2 linked regions of the Caenorhabditis elegans genome follow. The protein of the gene in region 2 purifies or fractionates together with the protein of the main gene of each other region. This does not show direct contact. Each region holds a gene or a part of one and is shown on either strand. Other genes may lie near its edges.

Evidence for each region.
Region 1: the proteins of oct-1 (region 2) and C15C6.3 fractionate together in Caenorhabditis elegans (co-fractionation; one large-scale study listed by BioGRID). This does not show direct contact.

What each region holds. Positions count from the first base shown.
Region 1 is NC_003279.8:12,204,592-12,213,666, reverse strand, and holds C15C6.3 (YTH domain-containing protein), read right to left. Parts: upstream 6,571-9,075; 5' UTR 6,569-6,570; coding exon 6,526-6,568; intron 6,408-6,525; coding exon 6,138-6,407; intron 6,076-6,137; coding exon 6,011-6,075; intron 5,226-6,010; coding exon 5,087-5,225; intron 4,673-5,086; coding exon 4,574-4,672; intron 4,466-4,573; coding exon 4,081-4,465; intron 3,438-4,080; coding exon 2,746-3,437; intron 1,868-2,745; coding exon 1,461-1,867; 3' UTR 978-1,460; downstream 1-977. Other genes in the region: popl-4 (Ribonuclease P protein subunit p29), read right to left, coding at 483-537; C15C6.2 (DUF7778 domain-containing protein), read right to left, coding at 7,888-8,158, 8,550-8,827, 8,880-9,075.
Region 2 is NC_003279.8:9,886,994-9,894,499, forward strand, and holds oct-1 (Organic cation transporter 1), read right to left. Parts: upstream 5,231-7,506; 5' UTR 5,186-5,230; coding exon 5,168-5,185; intron 4,552-5,167; coding exon 4,474-4,551; intron 4,421-4,473; coding exon 4,342-4,420; intron 4,297-4,341; coding exon 4,205-4,296; intron 4,107-4,204; coding exon 4,024-4,106; intron 3,966-4,023; coding exon 3,887-3,965; intron 3,482-3,886; coding exon 3,223-3,481; intron 3,177-3,222; coding exon 3,068-3,176; intron 2,760-3,067; coding exon 2,573-2,759; intron 2,525-2,572; coding exon 2,409-2,524; intron 2,358-2,408; coding exon 1,961-2,357; intron 1,883-1,960; coding exon 1,750-1,882; intron 1,585-1,749; coding exon 1,457-1,584; 3' UTR 1,363-1,456; downstream 1-1,362. Other genes in the region: Zinc metalloproteinase nas-5, read left to right, coding at 165-283, 331-479, 814-1,161; col-64 (Nematode cuticle collagen N-terminal domain-containing protein), read right to left, coding at 6,705-7,018, 7,307-7,506. UniProt on the Caenorhabditis elegans protein: Transports organic cations such as tetraethylammonium (TEA). Displays a broad substrate specificity.

The sequences.
Region 1 (9,075 bases), 2.3 Mb from region 2:
ATTATCGATTTTCACCGAAAATTTATCGACTTTTTGGGAAAATTAAATATTGATTTTATAAAATTATTGATTATTCGAATATTTTTTCTTTGATTTTTGCGAAAAATCATTCATTTCTAAACATTATTGATTATTCTGAAATTTTATCGATTTTTTTTGAAAAAAAATTATCGATTTTCGAATTCATTGATTTTTCGAAGATTTCTTTAAAATTTGGATTTTTACGGAATATTATCGATTTTTTAAAAAAGAGATTGAGAAATTTATTTATTTTATTATAGATTTTTTCAATTGAACTTAAGTTTATTGGCTTTTCGAAGGTTTTTTCCAAAAAAATTGATTTTTACGGAAAATTTATCGATTTTTTCGTAAATTTATTGATTTTTTGACGATTTTTTGATTGTTTTTCCAATTTTTTACGGAAAATTATCATTTTTAGTTCAAAATTTCAATTTATTTTTTTCTCAAAAATTGAAAATTACCTCCTCCCCGAGACGTGGATTCTCCTGGCTCTCCAATTCGTACGTCTTTGCTCATTTTTTTTTTCGATAGAATTCTGGAAAAAAACGGATATTTTAGTAAAATTGTATTTTTTTTCAAATTTCTGGGAACAATTTCAAAAATTTCATCAATTTTGATGGTTTTTTTTCGAATTTTTTTGGGAAATATCGGTGAAATGTAGATTTACGCAGCTCGTGTACTCCCCGAGGAGAAGATTTTCCTTTTTTTTCAAAATACGTGGTTTTACACTTTTTAAAATTATTTTTTGTTTCGTTTAGTGGTTTAAGTGAAAAATAGCAAATAACTGCAAGATCTTCTCCACGGGGAGTACACGAGTCTTGTAAATCGACACATGGCCGTGGAAGAGGTTTTACACGGCCAGCTCTTCCATATATTCAAATAGTAGTTTTTAAAAAGAAATAAGTCATTTTCTGAATATTAAATCGTCTCTAAACCCAAAAAATACACAAAAAATCTTTAAAAATTCCCAGATATTGTATTTATATAGACAAAAAAAAAACAGAAAAAGTTTCAAAAACTAAACCACACATAAAAATATTTCTAAACAATCACAAAAACCGACGGGGAGGGGGGGTTCGGGGTAAAATAATTGAAAAAACCCAATTAAAAAAAAATATTATAGCGATTTTGGTAGAGAGAAAAGAAGGGAAAAATTGAAAAACCGTAGCAAAAACGAGAGAGAGAAAGCGTGCTCTATTGCACTTTAGATGTGGGTGGGAGGAGATGGGGAATAAATAAATAAAATATGAAATTTAATTTATTTCTAGGGATTTTGCTTCAAAAAATTGAAAAAAAAACAAAAAATGAAAAATTCAACTGCGACCAATCAGCGATTCGCTCCGCCCACTTTTGGACCAATCAGCGAAATTGCTCGGTTTTTTTCAGCTTTTTAGACTATTTTTCAACTTTTTGAATTAAAAATCCCAAGAAATTAGTGCTCATTGAGCAGTCGCCGTGGCCGAGCTCTCCGATGAATTTCCCTCGAGCAACGGGGAGGATTTTTGAATTTCCAGCATTTTATTGATTGATTTCAGCCGCATTTTCAACTGTTTCTTCGTTTCCCGAATCGAAATCGACGGTGGTGGTGGTGGAAATTCCTCCGGCTCATTTTCTGGTGGCGGTGGAGGTGGTGGTGGTGGAGCAGCTTCTTCGGATTCCAGAAGCTCATCGACTTGCTGAGCTGGCTCCGGTGATGCGGAGCGCGATGAAGCTGGATTTGGGCTCACTGGAGCTGCAGCTTTTTGAGCAATTGGCTCCGCTGGCTCATCCTCATCGGAGCTGATTTTCTCTTGCTCCGTTGGAAGTTTTTGGCGGTAGCGAGATGGAAGTTTGGAGCTGGAGGAATCTGGAAAAAAATTAATTTTTGAATAATTTTGGCGATTTTTTCTGATTTTTTCAAAGAAAATCACTATTTTTTCGTTTTTTTTTTATATTTTTTGACGTTTTTTCGAAAAAAAATTTTTTTTGGAAAAAATTAAATGTTCTAATTTTTCTGATATATTTATGCGATTTTTTTTTTGATTTTTTGGAATTTTTTTGGGAAATTTTCCAATGAATTTCTGCAATTTTTCTTCAAATTTTCAATTTTTGCCGAGAAAAATGTTCGAAAAATCTTCGTGTTGGTTTTTAATAGAAAATCAATAGAAAAATCTAATTTTTGTATTGAAAAAGCCAAAATTTGCGAAATCTTCTCCTCGAGGAGTACACGAGAGCCACGTAAATCGACACATGGCAATTCGGTGTTTTTCGGAAATTTTAGGGCAAATTTGTGGTGAAAATGAATAGAAATTCATCAAATTTCAGCATTTTTTAGCAAATTTTTTGCATTCTAATAGATTCTATAGTTTTGGGGTGGTTTTTTTCCAGGAAAAACCAAAATTTTATCGATTTCTCGATGGATTTTTTCAAACTTCTAGAAAAAATAATCAATTTTCAATGGAATTTCTCTTTTTTGACGTAAATACCATAGTTTTTCGGATTTTTTTTCGGAATTTTTTAAAACTCAAATTTTGCGATTTTTTAGTGTCAAATTGAGTTAATTGAGTTAATTTCATCGATTTTTGATCTTTTTTTTTTCAAATTTCGGGTGAAAATATCAAATTTTAAAGGCTTATTTCCGTTAAAATCGACATATTTTATAGTTTCTGGCGGTTTTTTTTTTAAACAAATGTTTCCATTTTTTCGCTAAAAATCCCCAAAATTTTCATCCAAATAAAGCAGCACCTGAGCTATCCGAATGACTAGATCGACTCCTGCTTCTGCTCGACGAGCTCGACGAGCTACTTCTCGACGTGATGCTCTCCTTAGAAGGCGATCGGCGGTTCCGTTTGATCTTCGAGATCCTTTTTCCTCGCCGAGAGTCAAATGTCGATGCACTATCATCACTATCACCACTAATATTCTGAGGTCCACCAGCAGTGTCTCCACGTCGAAGCTTCTGCTTCTGATCATCCTTCCGACGTTTCGCCGATGGAACCATCGGTGGGGTCTCCGATCTTTGACGAGATCGTTTGATTTGAGATCTTGAGCTGCTACTTGCTCCATTCTTGCTGAAAAACGAAGAATTCTGAGAATCCCTGCCGGAAGAGCTTCGTTTCGGGATCCGATAAGCATGAATATCTCCTGTAACCACACTATCCTGCCGTTTTTTCTTCTGCTGGAACATTTTTTTATCGTGTCCCGGTGGATATGGTGGAGGTGAACGGCTTCGGGATCTTCGTGATGGTGACGATGGAGTCTTCCGCTTCATGTGCTGCTGCTGACGGGATCGTTTCGATGAGCTTCCACGATCTGAGGATGTTGAATAGGTTCGGGAACGAGATCGGTGACTTCGGCGACGAGCTCGGCGCCGTCTGCTAGAAGATCCGGCGTCAGATGAGTCGGTGGAGATGTCACGGGCTCCAGGGATTGTGGCTCTGAAAGTAGAATTTTTTTTGGTTTTTTTATCGATTTTTTTTCCAATTTACTGATTTCTCGCAACTTTTTGGAATTTTTTTTGCAATTTTTCCGATTTTTAGAATTTTTTTCCATTTTTTTGCAAATTTTTTCCGGTTTTTTGAAATTTTGTTTTAAAGTTTTCTGATTTTTGGCAATTTTTTACCGATTTTTTAGCCATTTGTGCAATTTTTTCTGATTTTTGAAAATTTTCGTCAATTTTTCCAATTTTTTTGCAACTTTCTCCGAATTTTTGGGAAAAAATTGTAATTTTAACCATTTTTAGTTGCGTTAAATTTCCAATCCGCATGTGCCGCACGAAAAAAGGGGCGTGGTTTCGATTTGCAAGGCTGCGGCACTGTTTTTAGTTTAATAGAAATTAGTTTAAAGAAAAAAAAAAAAAAAAAAAAATTTTAGTTTAAAGAAAAAAACGAATAAATCCTTGAAAAATCTGAAAATAAAAAGCCGCGCCGCAGACTTGCAAAACGAAACCCCGCCCCTTTTTTCGTGCCGCACTTGCGAATTTTTAATTGAAAAACAATGGAAAAACACATTATTTTGCCGAAAAAAACCAAATTTTTGCGCCAAATTTGCGATTTTTGTTGAAAATGAAGAAAAAAACACATTTTTAGACGATTTTCCCATAAAAACAGTCTTTTTACGCACTCAGAAGTGGACGAAGACACCGAAGACGACCGTTTCGCCTTTTTCAGTGTAATTTTCCGCTCTCTCGGCGGTCGTTTCTGCATTGCTTCCTCATCTGTATCACTGGATATCTCGTGAGCATCGAATTTCGACGGCGAATAGCTAATTCCACGTGCAGGCGGTGATTTTGACGAATTTCGGCGGGTAATTTGTGGTGGCGCCTGGCGCTGACTAATGGTCCTGCCACGAAACATTGGAGCATCGCGAGCCGGTGCCGATGGCGCGGAGTCACGTTTAAATCGATTTTGTGATGATGATGGATTTGGCGGCGCGCGATTCGGGTAGATCACTTGTGGGCCGAGATCTGAAAAAATTTGAATTTTTAGGTAGAAAATTGCATTTTTAGAGGTGAATGGCCAAAAAATGGACCGAAAAACCTCGTTTTATTTTCAAATTTCGCGTAAAATTAAACCTTTCATTTGTGGTTTGTGGGTCCGGATGTCCAAAAGCGATGGGATCGCCCGTTTGTCTGGATCCGTAGGTGACGTGGATCCTCGATCAGCTTCTGCGTCTGAAATTGGAGCATTTTTAAGCTTTAAAACACTGAAAAATGGTCTAAAAACATGAAAATTAGCTAAACGTCGGCAGTTTTTCGCCTATTTTGTAGATTTTCAGCAGGAAAACTGAAAAAAATTTAATGAAAAGTGGTAAAATTGGAGATTTTCTATGAAATTAGTGACTTTTATTGAAAAATCGCTAGTATTATCGGTTTTGAGGGAAATTTTGAGTTTTTTTTGAGTTTTTTCCAGTTTTCCCGAGATTTTTTGTATTTTTTGCCGAATTTTTTACTTCCAAAAATCAAAAATTGCTCTGAAATTCACTGAAAAACTGCAAATTTCAGTGTTTTTCTTCGAAATTTGCGGATTTTTCTGTTTTTTGGACTGAAAAATTCGGATTTTCAGCTGAAAAATCAATTTTTACCAACCTTCGCGACCATTAACAGCTCTTTTTGCTGCTAAAAGTGCAGCTTCCCATGAAACTGTTCCAGGATCTTCGCGACGTGGCACATATGGATGATTCCGGATTGGTGGAAGTTGTCGACCCATTGGACGGGAAATTCGGTTCTGAAAATTGAGAATTTGAGGGTTGAAAGCAGAAAATTCACACAAAATATGATTAAAAACGTTAAAAATCATGCTTAAAATGCATCAAAAAGCTCAAAAATTTCACAAAAATCAATAAAATCGCTGAAAATTAGGCTTTGAGACAGAAAAAGCCAATAAAATTGACTAAAATGAGCGACAAAAGAAAGCTAAAAATTGGGAAAATTGGAGTTTTGCAGTAAAAATAGGTAATTTTATCGGAAAAATGATAAAAATCGGATAAAATTCACAATTATGCAGTTTTCCATCGCTTTTCACATAATTTTTACTATTTTTTGCCCATTTTGACCGATTTTTCCCTGATTTAAGGGCATTTTGTGCACATTTCGACTAAAATTGAGCCAAAATGAGCGAAAAATCGTAGAAATCCAGTAAAAAATGATTTCTAACCGCTATGACAAGAAAAATTGAAGGTTTTATCCGAAATTTGCGGTTTAATCGATAAAACTACTCCAAAAATTGCATTTTTACTGAAAATGGGGCTTTTCAAACGTATTTCACTGTGAAAATTGATCTTTGTGGGTTATTTTATGGGAAAATTAATTTAAAAATAGCGAAATTCGGGTTTCCACCTGCCGGTGTCCGATTTTTTGCGCTTTTTTTTTGTGAAAAAAGAGCAAAAATGTGCCAAATTGCACGAAACAACGAATAAAAATCGATTTCTGACACGAAAAATTGCAATTTTTAGCTTTTTTCAGGCTACTTTCAGGATTCCATGCAAAACGAGACGGACAACATCGACTCACATCATTCATACTCGAACCAACCTCTATGGGCCTTCTAGCGGACCCAGCTGGAGCCGTAATAGGCGCTGAAATTCATGGAAATTACTTTAAAGCCATTATTTTAATAAAAAAAAAATTCAATTTCTACCTCGTTTTTGCGGCTCATCATCCTTAATTTCGCCGTCATCACTGTCCTCGAGCTCGCCGTCTTCAAGTTCTCCGTCTTCTTTCTCTTCTTCATCTTCTTTATCCGATTTCTCAGCTTTTTCCTCAATTTCTCCGTCTTCCGAAGCTTCTTCCTTCTCTTCACCTTCTTCTCCGTCCTCTGGATCCTCGTTATAGTCCAGAGCTTCGGCTTCTGCCTCCGGAGAGCCTGACTTCACTACTTCATCGTCTTCTTCTTCTTCTTCTAGATTATCTGAAATTGAGCATTTTACTTTAATTTTGCATTTTTTGTTTTTTAATTTTATATAATTTTTTGGGGTAAAATGACTCAAAAATTACGAAAAAACGGCTAAAAATCGTCTAAAACTCACCAACTTCGGCGATTCGTTCCAAAAGTGAATCCTCGTCGTCCATACCTTAAAATACGAAAAATCAATAATTTTCGAATTATTTAAAGCCAAAATTTGTCTGCTGGGAAGATTTACACAGGATTCAATTCGAACTCAACCTTTGAATTATGCTCAAGAAGAACTGGAAAAAAGTGTGAGAAGAAGTGAGTGAGATTTGGTGGGAAATAGGCATTTTTGCGAATTCGGGGGGCCAAGGGGACAAAATATCAATAATTATATGGATAAATAATCGAATTTCGAATCGATTTTCATCGGTAATTTGCAGATTTATTCGTGAATTCGGGCAATTCGTCCAGAGAACGCCGCGTTTTGTTGTGTGTGAGTGAGAGAGTGAGAGTGATGCCAGCGACGTGGCAAATGGTGAGAGACGCAGAGAGATGGAGAGAGTGAGATCGATGATGTACGCAAACACCGCAGGGGACGCAGGCGCGATATTTGACGGGCAATGTTTATTGTTTTTAATAGAAATAATTATTTCTATTATTTTGGAAGGTGAATTAATGAATTTATAAGAAGATTTTGTAATTTTTCAAAAAATTGGGTTAGAAACTACGAAAAGTCAACGAAAATGTTCAAAGTGTGTAGAAAAACATGTAAAATTGGAGATTTTCATTTTAAAAATTCGATAAAGCTTTGAAAACCGAGTTTTTAGGTTCAAAATTAACAAAAATTGAGCACATATTTACTGAAAATGCACCTAAATCAGCGAAAATAGACAAAATAGATGGACATTGAATAACAATCAATTTCTGGCAGGAAAAGGTGACAAAACTGAGATTTCTAGCTAATTTTTGCACTGTCAAAATTTTATCCGAATTTTAATAGATTTAACAATAAGGAATTGCATAATTTAGAGGCATTCTAAGTCGATTTCAGTGTAAAAATTTCTACTTCATATCTAATTTTCCCTAAAATTGTGAAAAATTAAAAAAAAACCTATAAAAATTAACTAAAAACTGTGGAAACTGACCATCGCCGAGGGAACACGGAACACTTTTCCCTTTCACTAGCTGCACATATCGGGGCCGAAAAACATACAAACAAAATACGCGCGCGCCGCGATTTGTTCACTGTAGGAGGTGGAAAAGAAAACGACGAAATAGTGCAGCCCATCTTAACTTTTTATTGGATCTTTTCACATATTTATGGTCACATAAAAAGAGTTACCATGGGTGCAAACTTTTGAAAATTTTGGTATTTCTGCTTGAGAAACTGAGCTGGAAAACTGAAATCTCGAAATTTCTAAAATCTGCAACAATATAGGCTTCCCTGGAGCCCTAATTTTTGTAAAACGAGGAAAATAAGATACTTTATTGAATTCTATTAGCACCGAAGAGATCTAGTCCACCACTGATTTTCTCTGTCCGCCTGCGCCTCGTATTCTCTCCTCTCTCTGGCATTCGTTGGCTCCAGCAGAACTACAGTTTCATCGCTGAAAACTGCTCTTGGGGTGCAGAAGATTTCAGAGACAAAGCTTGGCTCATCGCAGTTGGCTTTGTGTTGTTGCTCGGCGAGCACTTGCTCCTTAGGCTTCAGGACGAGCTCCTTCTCGAGTTTCTGGCGAAGAGACCGGACGGAGACATGGGGAAGTGGTCTGAAAGGATGATGTTGAGAAAATGATATAAATTTTGAAATTTAAAAACGGAAGAGCTGGCCGTGTGAAACCTCTTCCACGGCCATGTGCCGATTTACGCAGGCCTGGCGCGGCTAAAATTCCCGATTTCAGAGCATTTTAGCTAATTTTTCATGCAGTTTCCATCAGATTTCACCTAAAATGCTTGAGTTGACCGGGAAAATGTCAGAATAATTCACAAAAATGGCCCAAATTCCAGAATTTTAATTATTAAGTCTTCTCCTCGAGGAGTACACAGGCTGCGTAAATCGACACAAGATTGTGATAACAACATGTGTTAGAGGTTTTACACGGCCATTCTTCCATTTTCACGCATATGTGAGCTTCAAAACCTCATCGACTTCCCACTTACATTTGCTCGATGGCAGTGGGCTTCACCTCGTCGACTTCATCATCCTCATCATAGTCATAAGATGCTGACGATGTAGACGACATCTCTTCAAAGATTCCAGAATCCTCCACCGCCGTCATCATCGCGACATTAAGGCTTCCATCATCGCGGGGCTCTGTAGACGGCAAGCACTTTCCGGCGGCTCTCATAATCGCGCACGTCCACTTGTGAACATCATTATGGCCGACAAAGAGGTGAACATTGCCACGTTGCATGCGGATTTTGATGTGACAGCGGAACTGCAACAATTATTGGAATTTGAATAGGAAAGAGTCAGACGGCTCAATTTACATGACGCTGCTTTTTCGAACGATCAGCAGTGCACAGAACATTCCTGGCCGATCGCAAATCAATCACCAATCCGTGGTCGTCATTCTCGTAAATGATCATCAAACCGCGTGACGTCACGGTTATCAATCGCTCCTTTGCCTCGGAGATATGTTCGAGCAGGAAGGGTGCTTTGGATCGGATGTAGCTGAGCACCTGA
Region 2 (7,506 bases):
TTTGAAAACCGTAATTTCTACGGGAAATCATGCTTAATGGAAATAAATCTCAACTTCAAAATGCGAGAAAAAAAGATATGTATTACCTTTTAAAAATTATTAAAACCAACTATAGCAAGGCAAAAAGTGAAAGGCGCCTCGACTACGCCCCGATTTATTTTCAGATGCATTCAAGAAGATACAGTAATCCATGAGTTATTTCACGTTATTGGCCTGTGGCATGAACATATGAGAGCTGATAGAGATGCTTTTATTAATGTTCTCTATAAAAATATTGAGCCTGGTATTGAAGCAATTTTAATTGTTTTAAAAATAAGCCTGAAATTCCAGCACAATATCCTCAATTTGAGAAGTTGTCATCTCGTGATGCAACTACTTACAGTGTTCCATATGATTATAATTCTGTAATGCATTATGATGAGAATGCTTTTGCAAAACCAGGAAAGATTAGTATGATGACAAAGGATTCAAAATTTCAGGTAAGTATGTATATTTATGCCATTTTTTTTATTCACCTTTAGGATGTTTTTAGTAAGTGCCAAATGTTACCAAAAAATGCTAATCAATAAAAATTGTCGTGATTTTCAAAACACTTTTTAGCACAAAAATAACTTAATTTCCTGCAATGTTTGTCTTTCAAAATCCTGTTCAGTCAAAAAAGATCGTAGAATTTATAGAAATCATCAAATCAATAGTTAGTCAACATTCAGAACATCATGTGAACCGAACTCGAAACTGATGTATGAACATGTGAAAAAAAGAAAAATAATACGGAAAAAGAAAAATAAATAACTCGTTTCATTTCTTTTTCAGAAAGTTATTGGTCACCCCAAAGATGCTTCTAGCAATGACTATAAGAAAGTGTGTGCAATCTATCATTGTTCCAAATGTATGCATCAAGATTTCCAACAAATTGTTGAGCAAGAACATATTGAGTTGAATAATCCAATTATTACAAATGCACCTGTACAACAAGGAGATTCGTGTACAGATCGGTTAGGAATATGTCCAATGTTGAAATCAAGAGAAATGCTTAATTGTAAAGTAATGGCTACATTTTGTTGTTCTTCATGTTCTGCACCAACATCTACAACAACTACAACATCTGGAACTCCATCCGATGGATCACTTTGGCAAAGAATCAAATCGATTTTTCAATAATTTGATCCGATGATTTTAATTTATCATATTTTTTTCAACGGTATTTGTATAAATAATGCCCCAAATTATTTTTATTTTTCACTTCTTACAGTTTTACACTGATGTATTCATTGGGTATGCAAAAAATATGACTATGCAAACAATTTTAATAAAAAGTGGTAGAATATCGGAGTGTCGATGCAAGACGGAAGTCGCATTTTTAGCAACAATCTTTATTGATACAAAAAATATTGAGATCAAAGTTTTATTAAAACCTACCAATTATCCTCAGAAAACAATGGAGAACAATAAAAGTCTAAATATTCATAAGTCGACTACTTCTCCGTCTTCTATCCATTGGTGTATGGGGTTCCAGAAGTGGTTGAGATTCTCGTTTCTTGGCTGCTTGTGTGAACATTCCACTGTCTGGTTCTGGCTTTTTACCTGAAATATTATTTCAATTATTAATGATTTGTAAACAGCTTGCAAGAGACCTATAAGCATATGCCTCGTCCTGGAACATTATAAGACAGTCCAAGTGATACCTTTCTTTACCACGAAGTAAGCGTTAGTATTCTAAGACACCGTATCTCAAAGTCTTTAACTCACCAAAATTCTCTGCATCCTCAATTGTCATTGGCAGTGGTGCTCCAAGAGTTTCGGGTAGGAAAAATGTCAAAATACCGGCAGACAAAGCCATCAGGCCCATGATAAGTAGAGGCAATATCTTTACTATTTTCCCCTGAAAAATCGTTTTTCCAATATTTATTTTGTGGTTCAAAAAGTTTTATAAACTTATTTATAAAAAAAGAAACCCTACCAAATTAACAATATGCGGAGCCAACAAGAGCCCAGAACCGGCAACCATGCTACTCATTCCCATTCCAATTGCTCTAACAACAGTTGGATAAAGCTCTCCAGCAAATATATAGATAACAGCGAATCCGGATCCAACTCCAAATTTTCCTATAAACGAAGCACTGGCCACAAGCCATGGATAACCATCTGGCATAAACATTGCAGAAACACATCCAATACCACATACAATCATTGTTGCTGCAAGTGTCCAACGACGACCCGCACATTGAAGTAGAGGCCAAACAACGAAATATCCAGGTAATTCAACTGCTCCATTTATTATAAAACTCCAATAATCATCAACTGGAAGATTTGAAACATTCAAAGTTAATCCATTGTAAATAATTGCATTCATTACCCTGGAAATATTACTTTTTTATAGGCATTTTATAAAAATATGAAAATCTTACCATATATAGGTCACAATCAAAGTTTTTCTTCTTAAATTAGGAGTTTTAAAAAGATCTGTCACATTGTGACTTCTCTTCGTTTCTTTTTCTTCTGCAGCATTTTGATGGTTTTTCATCTGAAATTTGTTTTTTTGGTAAAACATATAATTGATTAAAAACCTCACACTATCCACTAATTCATCAACATCAACATTTGACTTTCCATTCATCTTTGCAATTTTCTTAAGCTGTTTCTTAGCGTCAGCCCATTTTCCGACTGAAACTGACCATCTTGGAGATTCTGGGAGGAAGAAGTAATAAATTATATAGAATGCAAATGGAGCATTGCAGAAGAATGTTAGCTGACGCCATCTGAAATAAAAATTCAAGCTAAACTTTTATAAAACTTGGAAATTATTATTTTTTTCGTATTTATTTGAAATTGAAAAATATAAATCAAGGTTTATTATACATACACACCTATGTGGTAAGATTAGTATGTAATATCAGTGCAAAGTGCTTATGCTAATATTTTCAGAAGTGTGCTATTTAAAAAAATATTCTGAATTAAAAATGCTTAATTCAGAAGTGCAACAGTGAGCTCAAAATTCTTCCTTACTAGACAACACTACTGCGACTTTCAAACATTCAGAAATACAAACGATTTTTCAAATTGATACCTTCTGATGAACATGGCCACTACTCCGAGCAAAGCCATAGCTGCTCCAAAGAAAAGTGATGTCATAAGTCCAGAAAATATTCTTCCAGAGTTGCCCATAAATTCCATACCTAAAAACCATATTTCTCAATTGAACACCCATCGACACAAATTTACAAATAATAAAAGGAATCTGGAATAACGCTGGAAATGCCAAACCAGTGAAGAATCGAAGAATAATGAAGGATTCGATATCTTTTGCAAATGAGCTCGCAGTTCCACATACGATCAAAACTGTTAGAATTACAAAAAATGATCTTCTTCGTCCGAATTTATCAGCAACATATCCAAATAGACAGTTTCCAATAAAACTTCCGACATAGAAGGACGTTGTTGATATTTCAATCCATGCTTGTTGATCACACACCAAATTGAACTGAAATTTTGTACTGTCGTATAGAATTATTCTAATTATTTTATGATTTAAAGCTCTGAAAAAAAATTAAAAAGCTGAATTAATTTTGAATTCCCGAGCCTATATTTTTGCCATTTGTTTCCGGCTCAACTATAGTAACTATAATTAGTTTTACTCCGTTAATTTGTTTTTAATACTTTCATTTTTCAGCAGAAAAGTGATCGGGTTTAAGAAAAAATCAGCAAAACTCTAATTTATGAAACCGGAAAATGGCAAAACTTTAGGTCATTCAAGATTATTGAATAATTATAATAATTATAAAAGTGTACAAATAATTTCATTAAAATTTTGAAATTTCGTATTGTCGTTCGTGAAGTTTTTTTTTCTAATTCGCTTAAAAATCGTTAAATTTATTTTTAAGCATACCTCTGTCACCAAGCTATCCAAATATGTAGAGTTATCATAATCCCATCCATTTTGGCACGGCACTAAACTTATTCGATCGCTGAAATTTTGAATTTCTATATGAAAATATCTAAAAAATAAACTGTTCCACAAGTTACCTGTAAGTATCGACTGGAGCTGATGTAAAAGCCCGGAACACGTTTATTTGAGTCTCGTTGTACTGTTTGCAAGAGAGAATTTGCTGTAAATTCATTATTTTTAAAGAAAAGTTTCAAAGTTGGAATTATCTATTTTTTCAAAGTTTTGTTGAAAGAAAACCTGATAAAAATAGGAACTTACAGTATCATTAGTCAATGGTCGTAAATATTCTTTTCCTTCAGGAATATGACATGTATGCGGTGGATTTCCAACAACAAATGGAATGTTGAATGCTAAATTTGAAACTTTTTATTTGAGTTTATATAAATAAAATCTACCCGAGAATGCTGATGGTAAACTAGTTGGAAGGCAAATTATAAAGAAGAAAACAATCTGATAAGTACCATAGTTGCCAACCTTAAATCGTATATTATTATTTCTTTGAATATTTGATTTTGTGTGGCGGTAACCTGTTCTAGAACGAAATCAAAATCTGGAGGTTTAGTTGCAGACATCAATATTTCTTGACTGATCTCAGCAAATGTCTCCTATAAAAATTACTTTAAAATTATTGAAAGTTTTTAAAATACATGAAAATGACCTATTAAAAAAACAAGTGTTGGAATTCAAAAATTTGGTTAAGAAAATTGAAAATAATTTTGAAATACAGCCATATTAAATTTGTTTAAACTCATCAACCAATCGAAGTTTCAAAAAAAAAACTTAATTTTATTTACAAGACGAACTATGCCTGCCTCTTGCCTATTCGGGAACTTGCTGCCGGAAAAAAAGCTTTTTAAGTTTTTAAGTTTGTAGGCAAAATTTAATTGAAATGGGAACATAAGGTACTATTGGTAGGCACGAAGGTAGGCTGTTTCTGAACTTCTATTATTCTACAAGACTTCTGAGAATTGCAACAAAATGATATTCCTATCTTCTTTTAATAAAACTAAACAGTATAATTACGTAAAAGGCTTAAACGAGAAAAAACTATGTTTACAAAAATGAATAAAGTTCAACTAAAAATCAGGACATAAATTGGCTGCTAAAAAGTCACATTTTTCCCATTTTCTGAAGAAAAAGTCAAAGTTTGCCGGTCTGTGAGTAATTAGAAATAATGAGAAGTCTTAATTTGATAAGAATAGACAATTGAGATCAACTTACCATTGCCTGGAATGACATTTTTGCAATAGAATACGTTAAAATCGTCGATGAGACGACTTTTTTCAGGAAAAAAAATAGAAAATTGAGAAAATAGGGGGAAAATGAGGAAATTGTGAAGTACCCAGATCGGTTGATTGAATATTGAAGTGAGGGGTAATACTTGAAATGTCAAGTGAGAAAGTTTGCACCCGATATTTTTAAGGATTTATTTGATGTTTCATGGGTTAAAGGACAATGGTGGTAATTCAGAGTTGGCAATGTAACTAATAATAATTTCTTCGAACTTGTCTAAAAAGCCTAAATAGATAAGAGAACTTAATATAGGAAATAATAAGAAAAAGAATAAGAAAGAGAACTTAGGTTGAAACTTTTAGAGTAGGCACCAAAATAGCCGGTGGCCTGCAGCATGTTGCTTTTTATATTGGTCATTCTTTCTTAAAGTCAATGAATCTTTTCCTGCCAGACATCATTAAATAGTACACACTACGAAAAATTGAAGGGCTTTAATATGATCAAGATCTGCGGCACTTGCTCAAAATCATGATTCTTTAAAAACAATCCTATCTGAACGGTCCCACCTGGATCTACACTGATCAACGTTTTCTCAAAAAAAAATTGAATGATTAATGCGTGGTGAGACCTTTTTATGTCAAACACTAGGAAAGGTAGAGGTAGTATACCCACATTAATGAAACTACAGTAATACCAAAATACTAAAAAACTATAGACAAACGCAATTTCTTTTTAAATATATAGTAATATAATAAACACATAAACCTTGAGAACAACTACATACACGGTTTTAGATTATTCTACAAGATCTAAGCGATTAAACCTGAGAAAAACAAGCGTATGAAGCTTCACACGTTATAGTGGTACGATGTTGGAAAATGTTTGAATAGTTGAGAGAGGGAATACTGTAGCATGACACGACAATTGAATTACAAGAAAGAGTTTTCAACGAAATTAAAATAGTAAAACTTCTAGAGCCGTTTTCTTTTTTCGTGCCATGCAAAAAACATTTCGTATTCTAAAGTATTTTGAACAAGATATCTTGGTGGCCACAAAAATTTTTGAAACTTTCCAATATTTAATTTTTTACTCCACTATTAGAGCCAAAAAATCTATAACTAAAAAGTTCCGAGACGCTTCCGAGACGAAGCTCATGCAAAGAATAATCATAATTAAAAACAAAAGATAAGGGAATCAGTTTAACTCCTGCTAAACTAGTTTACAAAACCACACAGAAAAATATTATTTGTCAAAAGAATGCATCTTTCGAAGTGAGAGGAAAAACACCTAACGCTTGAGCAAATTTGAGTTTTTTGAGCAAATTTGAGTTCACTCCGATTGACCCAATAACACATCTAAACCGCAGCAGTTGCTCTTCCTAAATATCACAGGATTTAGGTTAGTGATTGATGATTCTATACTTCCTTCTTGATCACTTTTTGATCAGATCTATGAAAAAAGGTTTATCATTCAGTTTTCTGTTTAAAGTGGGATAAATTTAAGAAAATATGTTAGTAATTGATTGTCACAATCTCTTCAAAGCGAGATATCCACCAAAGTTTTGAGAGTTTGCAGAATCTCCAGTTTCTGGGACTTCAGAAGATGAAGGATTCGGTGGTACTTGTTGTTCTTCTCTTCTTGTCGGAGTTTCTTCACGAGATTTTGGAGATCTAGTTGGTAGAAGAGTTGGAGCAGATGGAGATATAGTTGGAGGGGTTGATGAAAGTGTAGTTGATGGTGGAAGAAGTGTTGGAGATGCAATGAATGTATCTGAGATTGGAGAAGATCCACCGGAAGGTGAAACTCTTGAAGATGATCGACGAGGACATGGACAATAGCCTGGAAATTATAAAATAAGGAAAATAGAAATCGATTTCAAAGTTGCAAGTTTCTCATAGTCAGAGTTAGTTTCAAAGTAATGGTTGTTTCAAGATCGTATGTCTTGTAGTAGCACCGACTTTCAAGGTTTTTTGGGTCTACAGTGTTTTGAATAAATTTCCAGCAGTCGAATTTTTGAAATAATACGTCAGAATTAACAAAAATAAAAGTTTGATAATTCCTGTAAATTTAACCACGTAGACATGTGTTTTGTAGATCGTGAGTTAATATTTCATGTTTTCAACTAACCGGAATCGAACCCAGGAACTCCTTGCTCGCCTGGAATACCATCTGGTCCTTCTTCAGCTATATCTCCTATATTTCCAGCTGGTCCTTCTGGTCCTTCAGGTCCATCATGTCCGTCTTCTCCAGTTTCACCTGTTACTCCAGGCATTCCGACTTCTCCTGGAGGACCCGGTGGTCCTGCTGGTCCAGGAATTCCAACTCCA